Drosophila melanogaster: one gene and its partners. Changing the gene in region 1 together with any one later gene gives a genetic interaction. Each region holds a gene or a part of one and is shown in the gene's direction. Other genes may lie near its edges. The genes, in order: Antp, ey, Glut4EF and ph-d.

Evidence for each region.
Region 2: of Antp (region 1) and ey, changing one suppresses a phenotype caused by changing the other (phenotypic suppression), as found in Drosophila melanogaster (2 studies listed by BioGRID).
Region 3: of Antp (region 1) and Glut4EF, changing one enhances a phenotype caused by changing the other (phenotypic enhancement), as found in Drosophila melanogaster (one study listed by BioGRID).
Region 4: of Antp (region 1) and ph-d, changing one enhances a phenotype caused by changing the other (phenotypic enhancement), as found in Drosophila melanogaster (one study listed by BioGRID).

What each region holds. Positions count from the first base shown.
Region 1 is NT_033777.3:6,996,228-7,001,152, reverse strand, and holds the start of Antp (antennapedia), read left to right. Parts: upstream 1-1,924; 5' UTR 1,925-2,947; intron 2,948-4,925. UniProt on the Drosophila melanogaster protein: Sequence-specific transcription factor which is part of a developmental regulatory system that regulates segmental identity in the mesothorax. Provides cells with specific positional identities on the anterior-posterior axis.
Region 2 is NC_004353.4:702,901-707,688, forward strand, and holds the start of ey (eyeless), read left to right. Parts: upstream 1-1,750; 5' UTR 1,751-2,264; coding exon 2,265-2,373; intron 2,374-4,528; exon of another isoform or gene 4,529-4,591; coding exon 4,592-4,771; intron 4,772-4,788. UniProt on the Drosophila melanogaster protein: Involved in eye morphogenesis.
Region 3 is NT_033777.3:9,872,692-9,877,704, forward strand, and holds the start of Glut4EF (glucose transporter 4 enhancer factor), read left to right. Parts: upstream 1-1,989; 5' UTR 1,990-2,449; coding exon of another isoform or gene 2,450-2,659; 5' UTR 2,660-2,983; coding exon 2,984-3,532; intron 3,533-4,306; exon of another isoform or gene 4,307-4,500; intron 4,501-5,013. Other genes in the region: CG46467 (uncharacterized protein), read left to right, coding at 2,450-2,659.
Region 4 is NC_004354.4:2,115,749-2,123,357, reverse strand, and holds the start of ph-d (polyhomeotic distal), read left to right. Parts: upstream 1-1,565; 5' UTR 1,566-1,633; coding exon 1,634-1,671; intron 1,672-1,733; coding exon 1,734-3,295; intron 3,296-3,356; coding exon 3,357-3,807; intron 3,808-3,866; coding exon 3,867-5,677; intron 5,678-5,740; coding exon 5,741-6,492; 3' UTR 6,493-7,609.

The sequences.
Region 1 (4,925 bases):
CAATTGAAAAAAGAGCAGTGCGGCGCGCTCACGACACACATAAAGCAAAATAATGGCACATTCGTCACACTTAACGCGGCCGCATCTGGCCGTCTCGCTCGCACCCGCGTCTGCCCCTCTCGCTCGCACTCTCGCTCTCTGCCTGCGCCGCCATCCATCTTGTGCGTTTGTGTGCCGCGCTTGTGTGTGTGCGGTCTCTGAGAATGCTTTATGAGTGTGCGTCTGTGGCGGACTCCTCCCTGTTTACGACGCTGGCAGCGCCGCAAGCAGAAGCAGCGGCTGCAAAAATTCGGCCAACTTGTGTTGTTGTTCTTTTTCCGCTCCACAACAGCTGTGGGAGAGCGAGAGCGTAGGAGAAAGAGAGAGAGTGAGAGCGATGCTGAATTGTGATTGTGTGCGTGTGAGTGATGGCCTGCATGTGTGCGTGCATGTGATTTGTTGTTGGCGCGCTTCGATATAAACTCGGCCATGATGGTTTTGCCGTCGGCAAGTGGATGTTTGGATGCCATACTCCCCGGTTCCAAGTACCGTATTCCGGGTTCCATAATTCACGGCGGCCATCATTCTCCCGATTATCGAATGTTAGCCGATAATGAGATATCAAAACGTCTAGATATGACTTCATCGGGCAAATCACATTTGCTATACAAAACTGTTAATTATGTATGGTTGTGGTATATTTACAAAAATAATTATTAAAAGATACGTTTATACGTTTATATACCATATCTATAAGCGTTAATTAAGAACATCTAAAAAAGATAAAAAATCGAGACAATCGAAATCAAAAACGTTTTTTACTCTTATAAGTACTTAAGCAGCATAACAATTTACAATTATTTTACATAATAGGCAAACAGAAACTTTCGACCTTTCCATTGCAAAACCCTATTTTAGATTATTTTCACTGGTAAAATAAATAAATAAATGAGTTTGTAAATTAATGATTCAGTCTGAAGTAATCGACGGATTGATACTTTAAAAACTAAAAAGTCAACACAAGGCCTTTAGAGAACCGTATTTGTAAATTGTACAATTATTTTAATTGATTTTATAGAAGGTGGTCTCCCACAAAATGGTAGATTTGACCGCAAAAATTTAAAAACAAGTAAACTGAAGATGTACACATCTTTCACATCGTTACGCTATTTTAAGAAATTAAAAGCAAATGAATTGATTGACCATATAGTCCAGAAGAATGGTTAAAAAGGTATAAAGATATTAAGTTATAAAGATATAGTAATCGCTCTTCGAAATAAAAGTAGAAACTACTCGATAATGCCCAGACAATCGAATTTTAAATAGTTTCGATTTTAGAGAAACTGAAAAGAGCACTTAAGAGAAAGAAACTTAAAATTGAACCTTGCAAAAAATTGTATTTAATAAACCAAAATGAATGAAACAAATTTCTTAAAAACCTAATAAAAAAGTGAAATCAAATATACCAACCAAAATAAATCTGGGAACTGAATAATCGAAAATAACTGGATGTGCATCATAAGATCTTCTTTTGAAGACTGACTACAGTTTGCAGCTCAGCGAGCTCGGGCCGGCAACTCAAGCCGGTCAACTCAAGTCAGGCGCCAATTCGCTGCTCCCACTCGCTCAGCTCTCTCAGTCACTCAAAATGGCAACGAGAGCAGAACGGTTCTTTTGCAAAATACTTTATGACCGGAGCAGAAGCAGAATCGGACCTCTGTCGCGGTCGCAGTCGCTGCCAGTGCTGACGGCGCTGTTGCGGCCGACGCTGACGCACATAAATAAAACGCTCTCTTTCGCTCACGAGTTTCTTATAAGACTTTATTTATATACTGCGCTGCCACCGCTGACTGCGCGCCGCCGCCGCCGACTGCGCTGGATTAATAAGGAGTTCTCGCTGGGATTTTCACATGTATATGCTTTGAATTGAATGCTTTATGGGTTTAGTTTGATAGGAGTCGTAAAGAAATCAACATCACACAACAAAGCACTCGAGGACCCGTCCGTGTTCCGTTGACTTAGCCCACGTGCGACTGTATGTGTGTGTGTGCGAGAGGGATCCCAGCAGCATAACGGTATTCGGTGCCCCGTATTCCGTAGTCGCTATAGCGGCCAATATCTTGGGGCTGGGCTCTCGGAGCTGAACTGAACTGAACTAAACTGAACTGAACTATTCGCATTCGTATTCGCTCGCTCTCCGTCGTCGCGACCGCTCTCTTATCCCAATTGTCAGCCCGCTAAGATCATAAAGGCCGTAAAAATAATCATAACAATAATCGTAAAAAATTAGAACCGCAATCAGTCGCACACTGTCCATCGCATGGCGCAGATCGTCATAAACCCATTATTATAATAATAACCGTAATCGTAACCGTAATCGTAATTGTAATCGCAGGCGCCATCGCATAAACAGCAAACAAAAACACCGTCAGAGAAATTGGAATTGAACTTCGCGCGCGTTTCTTTTTATGATGTTCGAGTGTCTGGCAGGTGTCTGGATTCAAATTAAAATTCATCCACATATTGTGCAATACTACTAATGGATCTGGGCTGACTGTGCTGCAAATGAGCTAGAGTTCAAATTTATCAAGCCAAATCCTACTACCTAAGTGTTTATCTATTCTTAAAAACGCATCGTGCACCGAAAACTCGAATCTGTACAACAACGTTTTCTAGTCCCCCGTAAATCGAGCAATATCTACACACTAGCAACAAACAAAAGCTGAAGCTTTCAACTCAAACCACAACAAATTCAACAGAAATAAAACGTAGACAGCCAAAATAACACAAAAAAAAAATAAATAATAAAAAACAAAATACATAAAACGGAAAAGAATAAGGAGCGGAAAAAGTTTCGATTCCACTGCGGGCAAACTTTTTATTTTGGCGCACGTGCAAGCTACCGTTAGCTGAGAATTCCAAAAGCCAGCAGGATTGAAGGATAAGCGCACGTTATTGGATTTAAGAGGTAAGTGCCAGGGCTCGACTTTTCAATTTCCTCACCTTCTTCACTGAAATCAAAATGGTTATATGTTTCTTTTATTGGCCAATTGGGATTAAAATGTCTTTATTCACAAAAATGGTTAATGCGTTTTGAAAACAATGCTTAAATTGATTATAATTATATTTTACTACAAATTTTATGTTATTTCTGCCTATCCAAACTATTTCAAATATTCAATTTAATAATAATCGTAACTGAAAGTGAAGAAAAAATCTTAACTTTAAATTGTAGTAAAAAATCAATATTGTTAAATAATTGCAAAGGTAATTGTACATGTAATGTAATGTCATCTATGCATACCGTCAAAGAATTATTCGATTGTCACTAAAAATTATATATAATTTTTAAACAAAAATGATTGTGAGGTTCTCTTAACATTATTTTTGAAAAAATGGTTGACATAAGTATATTATGTTACTATTAGCTGTCCATTAAATGTTTGAATAAAATCAATCATTTCAATGAAGCTTACATGGATTAGAATATCAGTCTATGTATATGCCGACGGAAACTTTATACATTTCCAAATACTTGTCTAAATATGTGGAAGTTTTGACATTAATGACTCTGTACAAAGAATAGCGCATCTGTTTCTCGATGTGCAGTGGGCAAGGTATAAGTTTTTTGCCCGAACTCAGATTCAACACTTCATAACTCAAAGGGCGTTTTTCGGAAGCTACAGCCAGGTCATCACTCATTTGGCCTGCAAACTGCAAACTGTTGACAGGCTTATTAGCCATTTGCATAAATTTGCAAAGTGGGAGGAGGGGTGGTGGGATGCTTTCAGGAATCCCGGGAGTTGAAGCTGGAAAACTGAAAACGGAGCTCCGAACTTAACTGGCCACGAGTAATGGGCTCTTTGAACTTGGAATTCGTTTTTGAATTATTGCGCATATCCTGGGCAACATAGTTTCACTTCCGAATGGTGGGAAAGGGCAGCCATTTCTCTCTCAGACACACACGCAAACACATTCATACACACACACACACACACGCACATAGTTGGACGAACAGGACACTCTCGGGTTCTCCGCATAGAAAATTTATGCGGCCATTGTTGCAGTGCATTGTCCTTGTTGTTGCTGATTTTGTTGTTGTCCTAGTTGTCTGGCCTTTGCATATTTGTCGTCCTCTCTGTCTGTCGCTCGCTACCTTTTACCTTTCTCTCTTTCTCCATTCCCGCTCTCTCATTGCACTTGCGCCCCACAGAGGTGCGGAATTTATTCGTAATTTAATAAACATTTAAAAATCTGTTCCATAATTTGGAAAGTATCTCTAGCGATCTGTCCAAAAGGGCTTTAATGAACTTATCCTGGCTTTTACTTTCAGCCTGCTTATCGTTAACACATTTCCATTTGCATTTTTGCCAGCTTCGATTTTTGCAAAATCAAATAGATGGCATCAAATGAAATTATTTTCTCATAATTTATTGATTTTATCAGCTGGAAATGTTACACAGCTGACAAAATCATAAACTCCGTTCTGTTTGCCCGGCAAAAACTTTTATGATTTATGGCCGAGTGACAGACAGAAAAAACACCGATGCAATTGGGAGAAATGGGGGGAAAATATTCAAAATTTGTATGAAAACGCACATTTCCCTAGACTATTTTTGTTTAAGTCCTACAATTCTTTACTAACATATTTAGACCCTTATACATGAGCAACCACTTCCTTTTAAACGGATTCTTAATCAAGTTCACACTCATGGCAAAGCAGCAAAAAGATTTATACATCAGCACACCAATGGCGACAACTCTTTTGTAAAAACATTAATCACGACCTCTGAGATTCGGCCGAAAGCCCAAAACTTAGCAACAAAAGTAAACGAAATTGTTGTTAATAAAACGAATCCAACAAAAAGCTTCAACGAAAACAGCCGACCACCACAAAGAAAACTTGTTTGACTTGCCTTTGAAATTAAAATTATATTTAAGCCCCC
Region 2 (4,788 bases), on another chromosome or scaffold:
ATATATGGGTGTCGAAACCCTCGGAGGCGGTCTGCATCTGAAGCAGACTAAGCCGAAACGGAACAACTTTTTGCTCCACGAGCATGTGCCGTGTCGTTGGCACGTGCCACGTGGCGATTGCTTGGGCTGCGTTCCATCCTCAGCACCAGTGCGAAGATAATATGATGATAGCAGGGCTGATTCAGCTTCCTGCGGGGGACATACTTTCATGTGCTACCATGTAGCCTAATAAAAACATTTGTTTCCTCCACCTTTAGGCGTTTTATGATGTAATCTGTGCATATTAAATCTTGAATATTATAAAGGGATATGGCAATCGGATCAAATGAAAATGATTCAGTCTTACCTGTAATAATAAAAATTACATGTGCGAAAGTAAGTTCAAACATTTTATAGTCAATGAAACGCCCAGTAAGTTAAGTATTTAGAACAGTTGCGCGCCTAACATTCTCACATATATTCAGATATCGATCGTGCGTGCATTTTATTCATAAAAATGTCAACGGGCTTGGTTAAATTGTTTAGTGATTGCTAATGTTTTTAAAATATGTCAAATATTTCAACCCCAATTCTTTCAGATTTGCTACAAATTTCGACAGAACAAAATTAAATATTATAAATACAATGTAGAACTATTGCAAGGGTACATTAAAAACATTCTGGAAGTGACTTAGAAGTAATATGCATTATTATTACATTTCACTTTTCAGAAGTCATAAGGACGTTATAAACCGTGTGAGAAGAACTCTTCGCATTGGAGAGCCCAATTGTATTGGAAACAGAAAAATTGGCCGGATATTGCTGTTGAATTTTGTGAATTGCACTTAAATCGACATTATCCCATACAGTCGTGTAGGTGCGCTATAGTTTTTTAATATTTCTCTAGAGGATTTTGAAACATGGCCTTTTAGCCATAACACTGGCCGTCCCTTTCAGGCTATTGGCAACTCGTTCTCTCGCTGTGCGGCGCAAAAGCAGGACAGGAACTTCCTCTTTGGGGCCCACCCAGCCTCCACATGTGACGACAGCTTATGGGATGGTGGCTGGTGGGTGTGACCGTGCTTAGGCTTGTCGACATTTTACTAAACAACCGTACGCCCACACCCAGCTCCCCTCGATATGGCTGTGTGTGTAGGCTCGCACTGCCGAAGCGGAAACGTGCGGGTAGTTAACGGAAATGTGAAGCGCTTATTGTATCGGAATGAAACAATTCCATTGGACGAGTGTGCTGCTGGCAACTTGTCTGGCCAGCTTGAATTCAAATGGAATGCAACATGTGTGTAATTGCTGGGGGGGGGGGGGGTGTGGCACTGGGCGACTTCTCGAAAGGCGGTGAAAGCGGCAGGCGCTGCACCGTTTACACACAGTTTCTTGCTGGAAGGAACAACATCCAGTTCCAGACCAGCACTTTCATGTCTGTTCAGGACCAAACCATTCCATTATGTGCTGCTGGTCCGTCTAGAGTTGGTTCTTCCTTTATTTTCAGATTCCGTTGCCACGATATGCTTAACGACACAACGCAGCTGCAGAACTGCACCGTGCCGAATCGCTTTCATCTTCCGCCAACTAACCTTACACGGGTGCGAGAGGGACAACTGGTGTGCTTCAACAACCAATCATGGGGCTAGCCTATAGCAAATGGTGGTGAGTGGACCAGCCATGCTGGTCTTTGCCAATCGCACGCGGTTCCGTGGCAACAAACCCAGCCTTTTGCGCAGGGGGGTGCTGGCCAGCCGAGGGTCGGCCTAGTCTGTTTCTGAAACGGATCCGGGTAGGCAGGTCGTGACATTATTATTTCGTGTTGCGCTTCTAAGGTAAATACTGTTCCGCCGCCGTGTCGCGAAGTTTAAGAAAGGTTGTTCGATTCACCGTGCGTATTAATCTTTATATCAAATGAAATTACCGGCTAAGTTAGCAATCGGTAGACCCGGGAATAATACGTGTTACGTGCAGTACAAATATGATGCTAACATGAGTGCAATCAAAAGTGGCGTTCGAAAAATGAACAAGTGAACTAAAACAAAAGCGGCTGCTCAGTTATATTTGTGTTTCCGAATTCGTAACTCTTAGGTCCTCACGGCGCGATCAACAATAGGTTTTTTGATCACTGCAGGACGTCATTCTCACCATCTGCGCAAATTTACTCTTAACTCTTGCTTGACTCGCCCTGCAAGAGTTCGCACGGCGTGCGTTTGGCTGAACACAGCAGTCTCTTGGCTAAAGCTTTCATGAGCAGTGCATGTAATAAAAACTGAGATCCAACTATGTTTACATTGCAACCAACTCCAACTGCTATAGGCACCGTGGTTCCCCCATGGTCAGCGGGAACATTGATAGAGCGCCTGCCGTCTTTAGAAGACATGGCTCACAAGGGTAAGTGAATTTTTTAAATTTCTTGATTGGCATCATCGTCTTTATCCGACCCTCTTATAAATATATATGAGTCTTAGCCAACACATATGTTAATGCTGCCCATGGGCAGTTGATCCGGTCCTACTAGGCGAGTGCAGTTTCGTTCGGCTGTTGGTCTCTTTTGGCGCAGTTTACCAATAGATAAAAAGCTTCTGAACTGAATCGTTTGCGAACTCTTCTCTCAAACTCAAACTCCCGAGAGTAAGACGGCTTTATACTCCGTATAAATTGTCCAAATCAAAGATATTCAAATCTTCGCCGTGACTCTTATAATTCGAAAAACCTATATTTGTATTATACCCGTAGCTTGTTGCTAATTTGTATTTAAAGTAGTTAGTGGAAGGAAGAGTTCCCGGCTAGTCGATTTTCCGATGACCGTTGGCATGTCTGTCCGTCAGTATTGACGTCGAGACCTTTGGAAGCGAAATAAGTAGGAATTATGCAAATTCCAGTAATGCATACGCAGCTTAATTTTATATTAAACCATTGTCACTCACTCACATTGTAAATTACAACGCAAAGGCGTTTAATGATCAATGGCGTTCCTACGGGCGTATCTCATGCTATCCCGCGCGTATATGATTATTGAGTACTTCATACTAGCTGACTCTTTCGTTTTATACAAATTTGTATACTCGTTACTCATAGATTAAAGGGTTATTAGATTTTTTAAATTTAAAGTATATATATTCTTGATCATGGTCAATCGGTCAATCTAGCCATGTCCGTCTAGCCATGTCCGTCTGCATGGACGTCGAGTTCTTAGGAACTATAAGAGCCAAAAGATTGCAATTTCTCGTTCACACATGCAGCCCAATTACGGGTATTTGATAGTCAATAAACCGGACTATAGCTCTCTTTCTCCTGTTTTAGCTCATAACGCTAACTGAAAAAGATTAAGCGCCTCCTTCTAAAAGCCCCATAAACGGCCCAAGTAGTCTATGGTATATATTCGTTCATACTGGGAACTTTTTAAACTAGTTCTTTTAAGTAATAGCTTAGGTCAAAAGTGATATTCTAGTTGAATTCTTTAACCATTTGGTTGTATACCTAGCTATGATTTATCCGTTTGTATTCTTCACGACTACCTTCTGCACGCAAGTTGCGAAGTCTTTTCCTGCAAGGTTTAAAACTATGCGGCTTACTGCTGAAATCGAAATTAGTTTGATTACTTTTAATACATTTTTTTGCACTTTTATCTCGCAATAAAATGATAACCCAAATACATAGCTTATGTTTTTGGGTTTCAGTTTAATTAAAACAATTAGGTAATCCTGATTTTTCAATTCGTTGCAGGTATAATATATTACAAAAAATAATTCGAATCGAACTATGACCTGAAATTTTATATTGCCAAAAAAAGTAGAGTATACCGAATTTAATTAATACATATAACTGATATATGTAAGAAAATATGTAACTAACAATGTAATGAAATAATTCTAATTCCTATGCAATCTGGCTCAACTTCTTAACTGAAATAAGAGAAAATGTTATAGTAGAGTTTCTCGATCAAACACAGGTCTAATTTAAAATTTGCAGTATTTTAGTTCCCGAATTCAGAGTGTTTAATAATGCATGTTCTTTAGAGACTAGGACAAAAAATCTGCAGAGTGTTCGGCAACTTTTGCAGTAGATTTCAGATTATAGATAGATTACAAAGAGAATAAATAAAACAAAAGAGAATGCTTTAGTCGAGTTCCGACTATCAGATACCCTTCACTTCGCTAGTGGGAATGCAAACGGAATGCAAATATATATGCGGGAATAAAATGAGAAAATATTTAAAAATGGTTTGAAAGTGTGGGTGTGGCAGTTTAGGGCGGTTTTAGTGCGTTTGAGTGGGTATTCTGTATTCTGTATGCCTCTGTATGAGATCTGGACGTTCATACGGACGGACATGGCCAGAATGACTTAGCTTTGATCCTGATCAAAAATATATATACTTTATGTGGTCGAAACGCTTCCTTCTACCTGTTACACACTTTTGAACGAATCTAGTATACCCTTTTACTCTACAAGTACTAGTACTTAAAATATGTTACATTTTTATAAACACTTAAGCAAGTTCAAAGTTGGTTCAAATTTAAAGATCTATTCCACTATTATTATAAATGAATTCCAAGTACAAACTGACTTCTTGATACGAATTTTACTCCTTTGATTTTCTTTTTTATAGACAATGTGATTGCAATGAGAAATTTACCCTGTTTGGGTACCGCTGGTGGTAGCGGACTAGGCGGTATTGCTGGGAAACCTTCCCCTACTATGGAAGCCGTGGAAGCCAGCACAGCGTCACATCCCCATTCGACATCTTCATACTTCGCCACAACTTACTACCATTTAACCGATGATGAATGTACGTTTTAATAAATA
Region 3 (5,013 bases), 2.9 Mb from region 1:
CGGAATTTCCACTGGAGAAATGATTAATTGAATTTACCAGATAGTTAATCTTTGCACTTGGCCGCCACTCCTCTTCATCTGCTGCTTCTTTTTCTTCAATTCCGTCCGAAATGGGGAAGAAATCAGCAATCATCGCTTACCCATATCAAATATCAAAGTGCCATTTGAACTTTTGTAGCTAAAACCACATAGGATTGAAATTTTCCAATAGCATACCAGTAAAATCCATCTTACGTTTTATCAACTACCGTTTATATTGGCACCCTGCGCATAATTATGTATTTAAAGGTGATGGAGCTTTATGTTCTGTGTATTTCAATGTAGATAAGACCTACATAAGTTTTCCCTTCGGCTGTAATCAGTAGAATTTTCGACTAGATAAGGGCGGCAAGCAATATTTCCGCACTATCTCGCAAGGTCTTCCGTCCGTCAGTCTGTCCGTCCTCCATTTTTTGACTTTTATTTCGGATTTTGGTTAAATGGAGTGGGAAATACGCAGTGCATTTTTCTCGATTTCCCCCACTCCGTTCGCAAATGACGTCTTCAATAATGCTGGCGGCATGAAAATCCACAGAAAATCCACCCCGAGAATGCGAAGCGGAAAACGCAGGAACGTAGAAACTCCAGAACAATAACTACGCAAATCTAGGCCCCGTGGCGTTCTGAATCTTTCATGGATGTGTTGGTTATTGGAGTTGAAGATTGAGACGCCCATCCCCGCAATAAACGAACCCCGCCCCCTTTCTGACTCCATCCACCGCCCTTCGACACTTGCTGACGTTGCCGGAGAATGCCTACAGAGGTCATTCCAAAGGCAACAACAATGCTCGCCCCGCAGAGAGCCCAAAAATACCAGAAAACCTCGAAACACATATATCCACATCCATCGGCAGCAACAGCAACATATTCACATCTACAGCGCCAGCATGGAATTGATGTAAACAAAATCGAATGGATTTGAAAGCACATAACAGCTGTGAGTCGCTCTCCCCCGCGCTCACACACAGTTGGGAAACAGTCACGCACACAGACGCGCACAGGCAAAACAGCGCTCTCTTTAACTGTTAAATTCTGTGACGTTATTGCTGCGAACCGGCCGGCATTATGGTGCTCTTTACAGAGCACTTGCGACTTTATTTACAGGTAGTCACAACACAATACTTCTGTCGAAATAAAGAAAAATTCTGTTTGTGTGTTTAAGCAATTTTATGAATTTTATTTTCAGCAATATTGAAGAGGGCTTTTAAAAGGAACACGTTTTGAGGCCATCGCCTTAGGGTAGGCAATAGGCTGTTTGGTGATCGAGCGGATCCTTGAAGTATGAAATTCTTCAGCAGGGATCCATTCAGATTTGAAGAGGATCCAAAAAAAGCGTTGGCCAACTTCGTTTCCGCTCTTTCTCTCTCGTTTGTTTTGAGACTGATGTTCGCTGTTCAACAGCTGTTTTCGCAACATTGTTGCTGCGTCGCCTCCAACAGCTGTTATCGCTCTGTTGTTGTTGATAAACCAGAGCGAGTCGCACTCACACACGCACATTTATGATGCGCGTATGCGTGACAAGTGCTCTGTAGATTTGGTTTTGTTTTTTTAACTGCGTAGTATTTTATGCTGCTCTTTTTTTCAATGCTGCCCCCGTGTTTTATGCTCTATCCATCCAGTGATGGCGTCATAGTTATATTGTTGATTAGCTACTGCGCACTTAGATAGCATAAATATATGATTTTCCACTTCTTTGGGTGTTCTGTTAGTCGTGGAAATTGCAGTTTCCCTCTAACATTTTTATGCTGCGGGAAGGCCTCACACTCGCACACAAACACACATGTGTCTTATTTGGCTTTTCCAAACGCAGGTAGATGCCTTACATGCATATATACATACACAAAAACAAGAGAGAGAGAGTCGGAGAGGGAGAGCGCGTCGGTGTGTGTGTGTGTGTGTGTGGGTAACTGTAACTGGCCGTTTGCTTTTCGTTTCGTTTTTCGTGCGCTCAGTCTCTGATAGCCAACTCTCGGAAGCAGACCGATAAGCGCTTTTCGGGCAATTCCGCCAAACCAAAACAACTGAAAAATACCCAACAGCCAAGTGAAAAGCCAAGCAAACTAAGTTGTAGCCAAAAACCCAAGACAAACGGGCCCTCTTCTGGTGTTCCGTTTAGTTTTTTTGGGCAATTTTGAAGCAAAATAGCCGCATTCACAAAGCGAAACGCAAAAAACCTAAAAGTCAAAACAAATCAGTGCAGCAGCCGCCAATTGCATCGCATATTGCTCTCTGTGTTGTGTCAGTGTGTTGTGTGTATAAGTGTGCGTGTGTGTGTGAGTGCTGGTAAGAAAACTGAGAGAAAAGTGAAAAGTAACGACCGGCAAAAGCGCGAAAAACGAAAAACAAAAAAAACTTTCCCCGCAGGAAACTCGAACTGCAAGCTGACGTTACAAGCGGTCAAAATTGGATTATGCTTAGGCACAAACGCAACTGCCACGCCATTCAGACGCCCAGCGACGCCGAGCATGTGAAGTTAAAGCCGCATTTTCATCCGCCCCAGTGGCTCCTGCACCGCGTCACCTTCTCTTTGGAGCTGTATCACAAGAATATCATCAAGAAACTGCCCAGTCTTGGCCAATTTCACGTTTACCGGCTGACCAAGAACGTCTGCCAGACTTAAGTAATACCCATAACAAATATCCCCATATAGTCCGCAATAAACTCCACAAAAAAGACAAAGTGCGTTTAATAACCATTACAAAAAAAGTGTAACTGATTGGGAAGAAGTGTGCAACAAATATCCACAAAATCAAATACTCAAGTGCAATAAAAAAAGTAAAAGTGATTAAAGTGCGAAAAGAAAATGTGGCCAACCATTAAGGCCAAGATCAAGTTCTAAGTTCAAATAAACAGACGTAAAAAAAGACTAGAAAATCTAGCGTGTTTTAAAGCGCTGGAAACTAAAATAACCCCCCCTGAAAGTAGTATAACCGAACGTACAAAAATGTCCACCGGCCGCCGTTTGGCCAAGCGCTCCATCATCGGCACCAAGGTGTGCGCCAAGGGTCCGGATGGCCTCTGGTACTCCGGCACCATATCCGACGTGAAAACGCCGCCCTCGTACAGCGGACCGCTCTCGCCGCCGCCGCCGCCCACTTTTGTGGTGCCCGGCGAGGCACCGATTAATGCCGATACGCGCTACCTGGTCCGTTTCGATTTCAAGACCGCCGTCGAGTCCCCAACCGCTACCACGTCGTCCGCGGCCTCGACCTCGTCCACATCCTCCACAGATCCGTCGGTCATCGTGGAAACGCGTCGCGCTGCCAACGTACACATCAGTCCCGCTCAGGCACTGCGTCGCAGCGCCATGATCAAGGAGTTCCGCGAGTCGGATCTTATTGGACCCGGATTCCGGTCCATCATGGACACCGAACTGCAGCCTGGCCAGCGGGTCTACTTCACCTACAATGGACGCGAGCAGAGCGGCGATGTCGTCAAACACGACGCTACCAAGGATGAGGTGATTGTCAAGATCACAACAGTTGGAAATGAGGTGAGTGGGCACATCCTTTACGAATGTATATTATCTAGAAAATTGGGTATGGGTATTTTCAACCTTCGAGAAACTCTTCTTGAATGAAGGCGGAGGATATAGCAAATCCAAGCGGGAGTTTCTGCATCCTTTAGATACTTTTTCATTTTGGGGGGTTGACCACTGCAGCTGAGAAAGGCTGCTGGCTGTGCTGTCGACGTCTTCATCATCGCCAGCATCATCATCATCACCATCACCATCCACATCATGATGAGCATCATCAGCTTTGTGGGGCGGCGAAAAGTGTGTCAAGGTTGGCTTGGCCGCACCACAGCATGCCCCTCCCCTTTTTTGGGGGCGGCAGCAGCATACACATGCACATAGACAGATGTACATACATACATATGTATCTATGCGCCTATGTAATGGGTTATTCAGAGCATATATTTACTTGCACCCCAGTGTACAGTACTGTACGATATACAACTGTGCAACTATGCAACGAATAAAAAAAGAGAAAAGCACAAAAAATACTTGTCGAGGGTCGCATTCCGCTTTTTGGCACGTAATTGGGTTACGCTCTGGGTTGGCCTTCTTGCTCGTGCGTTTCGATATAGAGAACCCCTCTCGCTTGAGGGCCAGTTCGAGCCCCCGAGATTAGATTGACCAGAAGCTAAAGCGACTTCAGATTTAATTACGTATCTTCGATGCACAGCGAAAGCGGGAAATGTGTGGCACTTTTATGTTGCATCTGATTCCCAACGAGCCTTTTTTGATCCCATGCTAAAATAGAATACGAAATTCCGTATTCCATATATCTCTCCAGAAATGCAATCGTTTATAAATTTTATTGCTTAGCTCTTACTACACATCCTATATCGCTCAGTCGTGAGTTTATTCCCCCAATTCGATCCCACACACATGATCTAGCTAATCCTCCAGTCACAGCCCCTTTGCCATTACGTCACTCGAATCGTTGAACTGCTCAACTGCTAAGCAAACACAAAAAAAAGTTAATAAATAAAAGCAGCGAAAAATAATTCAAGAGTGAAACATCATCGGTTGCGGCATTTATAGAATCGCCCCGAATCCGAACGCGCAAACCCAAAAAACAATCTCAATGACGACGATTCTGTTCTGCGGATAAGACGATGATGATGAGATCGTGTCGTAATGAAAATTTGTTTAGAATTCGGTTTCGTGAAAGAATTTCAAGTTAGCAACAAACACCCACAATAAAAACAACAAAAAAAAATGAAAAAGACTAATGTAAAATGGGGGAAACAATTGCAATAAATGCGCTACAAATTCAGGGCTAAATAGAGATACATGGCTTGATGTTTCTACGCTTTACAGCTAATTATATATTGTAGATTAATTCTACGGACTGCGGCCGCGCCTTAGCAACAACAACATCAACCGGCTGATGGAAACGGATAGAGGTACCCAGAACGAGGGAGACAGAGCGCAAAAAGATCAGATGAACTTTTCGAATTGCGTCA
Region 4 (7,609 bases), on another chromosome or scaffold:
ATCCGAGCAAAAGTAGAGTTGTCGCTGTAGCGCGCGGTTCAGTTTGAAACTTAACTTGGCGGCGTGCGGTTCTTGCGCTCTGCTCTCTTTGCGTTCGTGTTGGTGTGGTGTCGATGTGTCGCATACCGCATGTGTATTGAACGGGGGAAAAAAAAAGCGCCGACGCGACGCACACACACCCTACCACCGTTTCGTAGTATTTATTTATATATTTATTTTTGGCGATCAATGCAAATCGGTGCTGACTATAAGTGATTAGTGAAAACAATTAATGCTGTGCGGCGTCTAAAGTTGCGTCGTTTTGAATGTTAGGCATGTACAGGTGCCTCCAAATATACAATAATACAGTACAGCAAGGAAAGCAAAAATGAAAACGGTAAAACATATTTTTTCTGATGAGACGCTGTCGTCGGCGCATGCTCTTTGCCTGTTGTTTGCGCCGCATTGTTGTCATTGCTCCCTGCCTCTTCGTTTTCTCCTTCTCCTCTTCCTCTGTTTCTGCCTCTTGCAACTCAATTTTTGGCTAAGGGAAAAATCAAATAATGATGGCATTATTGTATGCCGCCACACGCACATGCACACACACACATGCACATATCGTGGCGCGGTAGAAAGAAACCAGTCTTTCGGTTGCAAGTTGAAGATGCTGCTGTGCCTAGGTTTATTACCCCCCTTCCAAATCCGTTCCGCTCTTAGCCTGCCGATGGAAATGGAAGCCAAAATCCACCCCCGATACACACCAAATGTAACTGAAACTCCTAACTATTATTGGTGGCGCCGGTTGCTCCTTCCGCTCCTCTGAGCCGCGGCCATTTCTTACTCCTGGACAACTGGCGACAGCATTTTGAGCGCCCAGCTTAGGTCTTTGAACCTGTCCCCTTGGATATCACCATGATGGCTTATAACCATCGCCCAAGGGCCATCCGTAAATAAAAGTGGTCTCCCTTACACCCACTCGAACTTCCTCTCTGCGTAGTAGATGGGAGGAGGTGATGGAGAAGGGGAATATGCAGCAGAGAGCAATCCTACTATAAATAGATGTTTCGGGCACAGGCAACGCTGACAAGTGACCTGCTTTAGGTGTTGGTGTGCATGCACATATGAAAAACAGTGCACTTTTAGTGGGTCACGAATCATGAACAAATTAAAATATTTATTTACCTGTTCCGTAAAAAGTACTGAATACACGGTGGGGCTAGTGTTGTACAAAGTTGTAGCTGCAATCATTTGTAATTTCCCATATAATATGTTGGTGTTTAAGCTTACCACGTCTCACCTAAACAGTATCCACTGTAAGTAAATTACCTCGTGAGTGAACGATCATCCAAAACAAAGTGTATCTCTCGTTCCCTTCTCACATTTTCGTCCCGACTTTGTTTTCGTTTTCGTTTTCTTTGGCGTTTTTGGACCCAGATCGATCCCGTCTTTGTCTTTCTCAATGGTAGTGCGTCCCTGTCGCACCCCCTTCTTTCTTTTTCTGTTCCTCGTCCCCCTTTTCGCGTTGGAGAGCAAGAGAGAGAGTCTTTGGCGGGAGTAACATGCAGTCGCAGTTTGTTGTTGTGCGGTTTGTTCGTCAAGCGCTAAGAGAATATGAATAAGAATATAAATATAAATTTAAACATGAATATGAAGCATGCCCCACGGATTCGGAGCCGCGCCAAGTGTGTCCGTGTTTGTTTGTGTTTAAAGCAATTTACTGATAGTCTGTGTGCGTTTCCTCTTTCTCTTTCCAGCAGTGGGGACACCGAAAGTGAATCAGCAACAACAATACGTACACCACCACCTTCCCCGGAAGCCACCACATCTGTAAAGGTCAACTCCACCACTCGCGTGGACCCCCAGCGGCCACTAAGGTGCCTGGAAACACTCGCCCAGAAGGCAGGCATCAGCTTCGACGAGGACTTTGCCAAGAGTCCATCCCAATCGCCCAGCTCTAAGGCAGCACGTGGGTCAGTCGGAACGCCATCAATCAGACGGCGCCACCCACTACTACCGCTCAGCAGCAGATCGCCAAGCGCACCCGACTCAAAGACAACCGGCCGCAAACTGGAGAAGTCACAGAGTCCAGCTCAACAGGTGGCGGCCGCCACCAATGTGCCGCTGCAGATCTCCCCCGAGCAGCTGCAGCAGTTATATGCAAACAATCCCTACGCCATTCAGGTGAAGCAAGAGTTTCCCACGCACACGACCAGTGGCAGTGGAACTGAACTAAAGCATGCAACCAACATTATGGAAGTTCAGCAGCAGTTGCAGCTGCAGCAGCAGCTGTCGGAAGCCAACGGTGGAGGAGCAGCCTCGGCCGGAGCCGGAGGAGCAGCTAGTCCGGCCAACTCGCAGCAAAGCCAGCAACAGCAGCACTCCACAGCCATCAGCACCATGTCGCCGATGCAATTGGCAGCGGCCACTGGAGGAGTTGGCGGGGATTGGACACAGGGAAGGACGGTGCAGCTAATGCAACCCTCCACCAGTTTCCTGTATCCCCAAATGATTGTGTCGGGAAATCTGTTGCATCCAGGAGGCCTCGGTCAGCAGCCAATCCAGGTGATCACCGCCGGCAAGCCATTCCAAGGCAACGGCCCCCAGATGCTTACCACCACGACTCAAAACGCCAAGCAAATGATCGGTGGCCAAGCGGGATTCGCTGGCGGAAATTACGCGACCTGCATTCCTTCGAACCACAATCAGTCGCCTCAGACGGTGCTCATCTCGCCGGTGAATGTCATCTCCCACTCGCCACAGCAGCAGCAAAACCTTCTGCAATCAATGGCCGCCGCAGCTCAACAACAGCAACTTACCCAACAGCAGCAGCAACAGCTTAACCAGCAGCAACAGCAGCTCAACCAGCAGCAGCAACAGCAACAGCTGACTGCCGCTCTGGCCAAGGTGGGAGTGGATGCGCAGGGCAAGCTGGCCCAGAAAGTGGTTCAGAAGGTGACCACCACCAGCAGCACGGTGCAGGCGGCGACGGGTCCTGGATCTACTGGGTCAACACAGACCCAGCAGGTGCAGCAGGTTCAGCAACAGCAGCAGCAGACCACCCAAACCACTCAGCAGTGCGTGCAGGTTTCACAGTCGACTTTGCCAGTCGGTGTGGGTGGACAGTCTGTTCAGACTGCCCAACTTTTGAACGCTGGCCAAGCGCAACAAATGCAGATCCCTTGGTTCTGGCAGAATGCGGCGGGCCTGCAACCCTTCGGCTCCAATCAGATCATCCTGCGAAACCAGCCAGACGGAACCCAAGGCATGTTCATTCAACAGCAACCGGCGACGCAGACTTTGCAGACCCAGCAAAACCGTAAGAATATTGTCATGTATATTGCATCGGATAGGTACTAAAGTCAACTATCTTCCTACAGAGATTATTCAATGCAACGTGACGCAGACGCCCACTAAGGCACGCACTCAACTGGATGCACTTGCTCCCAAGCAGCAACAGCAGCAGCAGCAGGTTGGCACTACCAACCAGACGCAGCAGCAGCAACTAGCGGTGGCTACTGCCCAGTTGCAGCAACAGCAGCAGCAACTCACTGCAGCCGCTCTGCAGCGACCAGGAGCCCCTGTCATGCCCCACAATGGAACTCAAGTGCGTCCGGCCAGTTCCGTATCCACACAGACTGCCCAGAACCAGAGCCTGCTGAAGGCCAAAATGCGCAACAAGCAGCAGCCGGTGCGCCCCGCTTTAGCCACATTGAAAACCGAAATCGGTCAAGTCGCAGGACAAAATAAGGTAGTAGGCCACCTGACCACCGTGCAGCAGCAGCAACAGGCGACGAATCTCCAGCAGGTGGTTAATGCGGCGGGCAACAAGTGAGTATTGTTTGTTTATTATCTGCCTTGTCACAGTACTTATTTTTGCATCTTTCCAGAATGGTTGTGATGAGCACAACGGGCACTCCGATCACCCTGCAGAATGGACAGACCCTTCATGCAGCCACTGCGGCAGGAGTCGACAAGCAGCAACAGCAGCTACAACTGTTTCAGAAACAGCACATCCTTCAACAACAAATGTTGCAACAGCAAATTGCTGCCATTCAAATGCAGCAGCAGCAAGCGGCTGTTCAGGCCCAGCAACAACAGCAGCAACAGGTCTCTCAGCAGCAGCAGGTTAACGCCCAGCAACAGCAAGCGGTGGCGCAACAACAACAGGCAGTCGCGCAGGCTCAGCAACAGCAGAGGGAGCAACAGCAGCAAGTTGCCCAAGCCCAGGCGCAGCATCAACAGGCTCTCGCGAATGCCACTCAGCAAATCCTTCAGGTGGCGCCAAATCAATTCATCACGTCCCACCAGCAACAGCAGCAGCAGCAACTTCACAACCAACTGATACAGCAGCAGCTACAGCAACAGGCGCAGGCACAAGTTCAAGCCCAAGTGCAGGCTCAAGCGCAACAGCAACAACAGCAGCGAGAGCAGCAGCAGAATATTATCCAGCAGATTGTGGTGCAACAGTCAACTGGAGCGACTTCTCAACAGCAGCAGCAGCAACCGCAACAGCAGTCTGGACAGTTGCAGCTTAGCAGCGTGCCGTTTTCGGTTTCACCATCGATGACGGCGGAAGATATTGCCGGAATAACATCCAGTGCCCTACAAGAAGCTCTCTCGGTGTCTGGCGCCATCTTTCAGACAACCAAACCGATTACTTGCAGTTCCTCTACGCTCCCCACAAGCAGTGTGGTCACAATTACCAGCCAGAGCAGCACTCCTCTGGTCACCAGCAGTACGGTGGCCAGTATGCAGCAGGCTCAGACGCAAGGTACTCAGATCCATCAACATCAGCAGCTAATCAGCGCCACTATTGCCGGAGGGTCTCAACAGCAGCAGCAGCAGCAGCAACTGGGACTACCTTCACTTACACCCACCACGCCCTCACCTACAACAAATCCCATTCTGGCCATGACCTCGATGATGAATGCCACCGTGGGTCACCTATCCACTGCCCCACCCGTTAGTGTTTCTAGCACCGCTGTCACTCCATCGTCTGGACAGCTGGTCACACTAAGCAGTGCTAGTAGCGGTGGAGGAGCAGGCTTTCCAGCCACGCCCACCAAAGAGACACCTTCAAAAGGGCCCACCGCAACCCTGGTGCCCATTGATTCGCCCAAGACTCCTGTATCAGGAAAGGACACCTGCACTACCCCCAAATCATCTACTCCTGCCACTGTTAGCGCATCCGTAGAGGCCAGTAGTTCCACAGGCGAAGCCCTGTCCAATGGAGATGCCTCAGATAGGTCTTCCACGCCGTCAAAGGGCGCTACCACTCCCACCAGCAAGCAAAGCAATGCAGCAGTGCAGCCACCGAGTAGCACCATTCCCAACAGTGTCAGTGGGAAAGAAGAGCCGAAGCTGACAACCTGCGGCAGTTTAACGTCCGCAACATCAACATCAACCACGACAACGATCACCAATGGGATTGGAGTAGCCAGAACGACAGCCAGCACGGCTGTCTCAACCGCTAGCACAACCACTACCAGTTCTGGCACCTTTACCACAAGTTGCACCAGCACAACCACAACCACCACGTCGAGTATCAGTAATGGATCGAAGGATCTCCCCAAGGCGATGATTAAGCCGAACGTCTTAACTCACGTCATCGATGGCTTCATCATCCAGGAGGCCAACGAGCCATTTCCCGTCACCAGACAGCGATATGCAGACAAAGACGTCAGCGATGAGCCGCCAAGTGAGTATAAACTTCTGGTACCAATGCTTTTTCGCAATCTTAACGTGTCATTCCTTCGCGCAGAGAAAAAGGCAACCATGCAGGAGGACATCAAGCTAAGTGGAATAGCATCAGCTCCAGGCTCGGATATGGTTGCTTGCGAGCAGTGTGGAAAGATGGAGCACAAAGCAAAGCTGAAACGGAAGCGCTACTGTTCGCCAGGATGCTCGAGGCAGGCAAAGAACGGCATCGGTGGAGTTGGATCAGGAGAGACGAACGGCCTGGGGACAGGTGGTATAGTTGGGGTGGACGCAATGGCATTGGTGGACAGACTGGATGAAGCCATGGCTGAGGAGAAGATGCAGACAGAATCATACCAGACAGTATCGGACGCTTTGCCAATTCAAGCGGCTACGCCGGAGGTCCCACCGATTTCGATGCCAGTGCTGGCGGCTATGTCGACATCTTCACCACTTTCGTTGCCCCTGACATTGCCCTTGCCAATTGCAATAGCTCCCACTGTGTCACTGCCAGTGGTTTCAGCTGGAGTGGTTGCGCCGGTCCTAGCAATACCATCCTCGAATATAAATGGATCCGATCGCCCTCCCATCAGCAGTTGGAGTGTGGAAGAAGTTAGCAATTTCATCCGAGAACTGCCTGGTTGCCAGGACTACGTGGACGACTTTATACAGCAGGAGATCGACGGCCAAGCGCTGCTGCTGCTCAAAGAAAACCATTTGGTTAACGCCATGGGCATGAAGCTGGGTCCAGCTCTCAAAATTGTGGCCAAGGTGGAGTCCATTAAGGAGGTCCCGCCAGGCGATGTAAAGGATTAAAAACACGCAACAAAGTCAAGGTTTCAAAAGACCGCTTTCTTTAGTTTCCCGCGTTTCACCTAAATGTAACGACATTTACTTCGTGAGCGAATGTGATCAGACAGAACAAAGTGAATCACGTTCCGACTCACCACTTCTCACAGCACGTACACCCTAATCATCAGCTACATGCACCTAATCTACAAAGGGAACTCCCCAGAGAGCAACCGGTGCCTGGAATCACTGACTCTGTTGCGAGGCCCATCCCATCCAGAATCTATGCGAGAAATCCATAATTAGGTGATGTAGTTGTTTTTCCCGCACATGACGAAAGCAAGGAATATGACCCTCCTTCGGCGCCGAAGCTGCAGCTAGTTTAAGCACCCCGATCAGACCCCAAGATTGTGGCAATAGTAGAGTCCATGACTCTGTGCGACGAAAAGGACGGGGAGGTTATAGGACCGCTGGCGCCACCGCCGTTGGATCAACAGTCTTCAGCAGTCTACCAGAGTCTGAGGATAGGAGCGGGCAGTATCCTGAGCTTCTATTTGACCATGCTGATCTCCCACGACCTTTGCATGGACCTTTGCCTACCTGTGGACCGGGTCCAACCGGGTCTGCCACCCAAGCTGAATTTGATTCACTTGAAGCGGACTTTCAATCCTTTTGTACGTAATCTAAACATAGCAAGAGGGGTAATATCGTAGCTCAAATGACAGGACGCCACATGTATGATAGAGCATAGACTGCCATCCCAGTCATCAATTCATCACTTTGTATAGAAGTTCACAATTACTCATAATCACTAACGTATTTATTTGAACGTTGTTAATCATTTCACAACACCCTATGCAAAGAACATGAAAAAATCATTTGAACTAGAGGTAATCTGGGATTATATTTACGTAGTTAGAATTAAAACTTAAGCCTGAAGTAATTCCTAAGTGAAACTGAATTGAATCCAACTAAACCTTTAATTTATTGATAAACTTAGGTCGTAATGAGTAACGTCTGAAGAATTTTTGCCTTTATTGCAAGGTTCCGAAAACGCTGTCCAACTTTTATAGATCAAATCAGTGGTCGGAGTTTAATTTTTTTTTTAGTTTTACGAAACCTTTTTTTCCTACTGCTGAAGTAA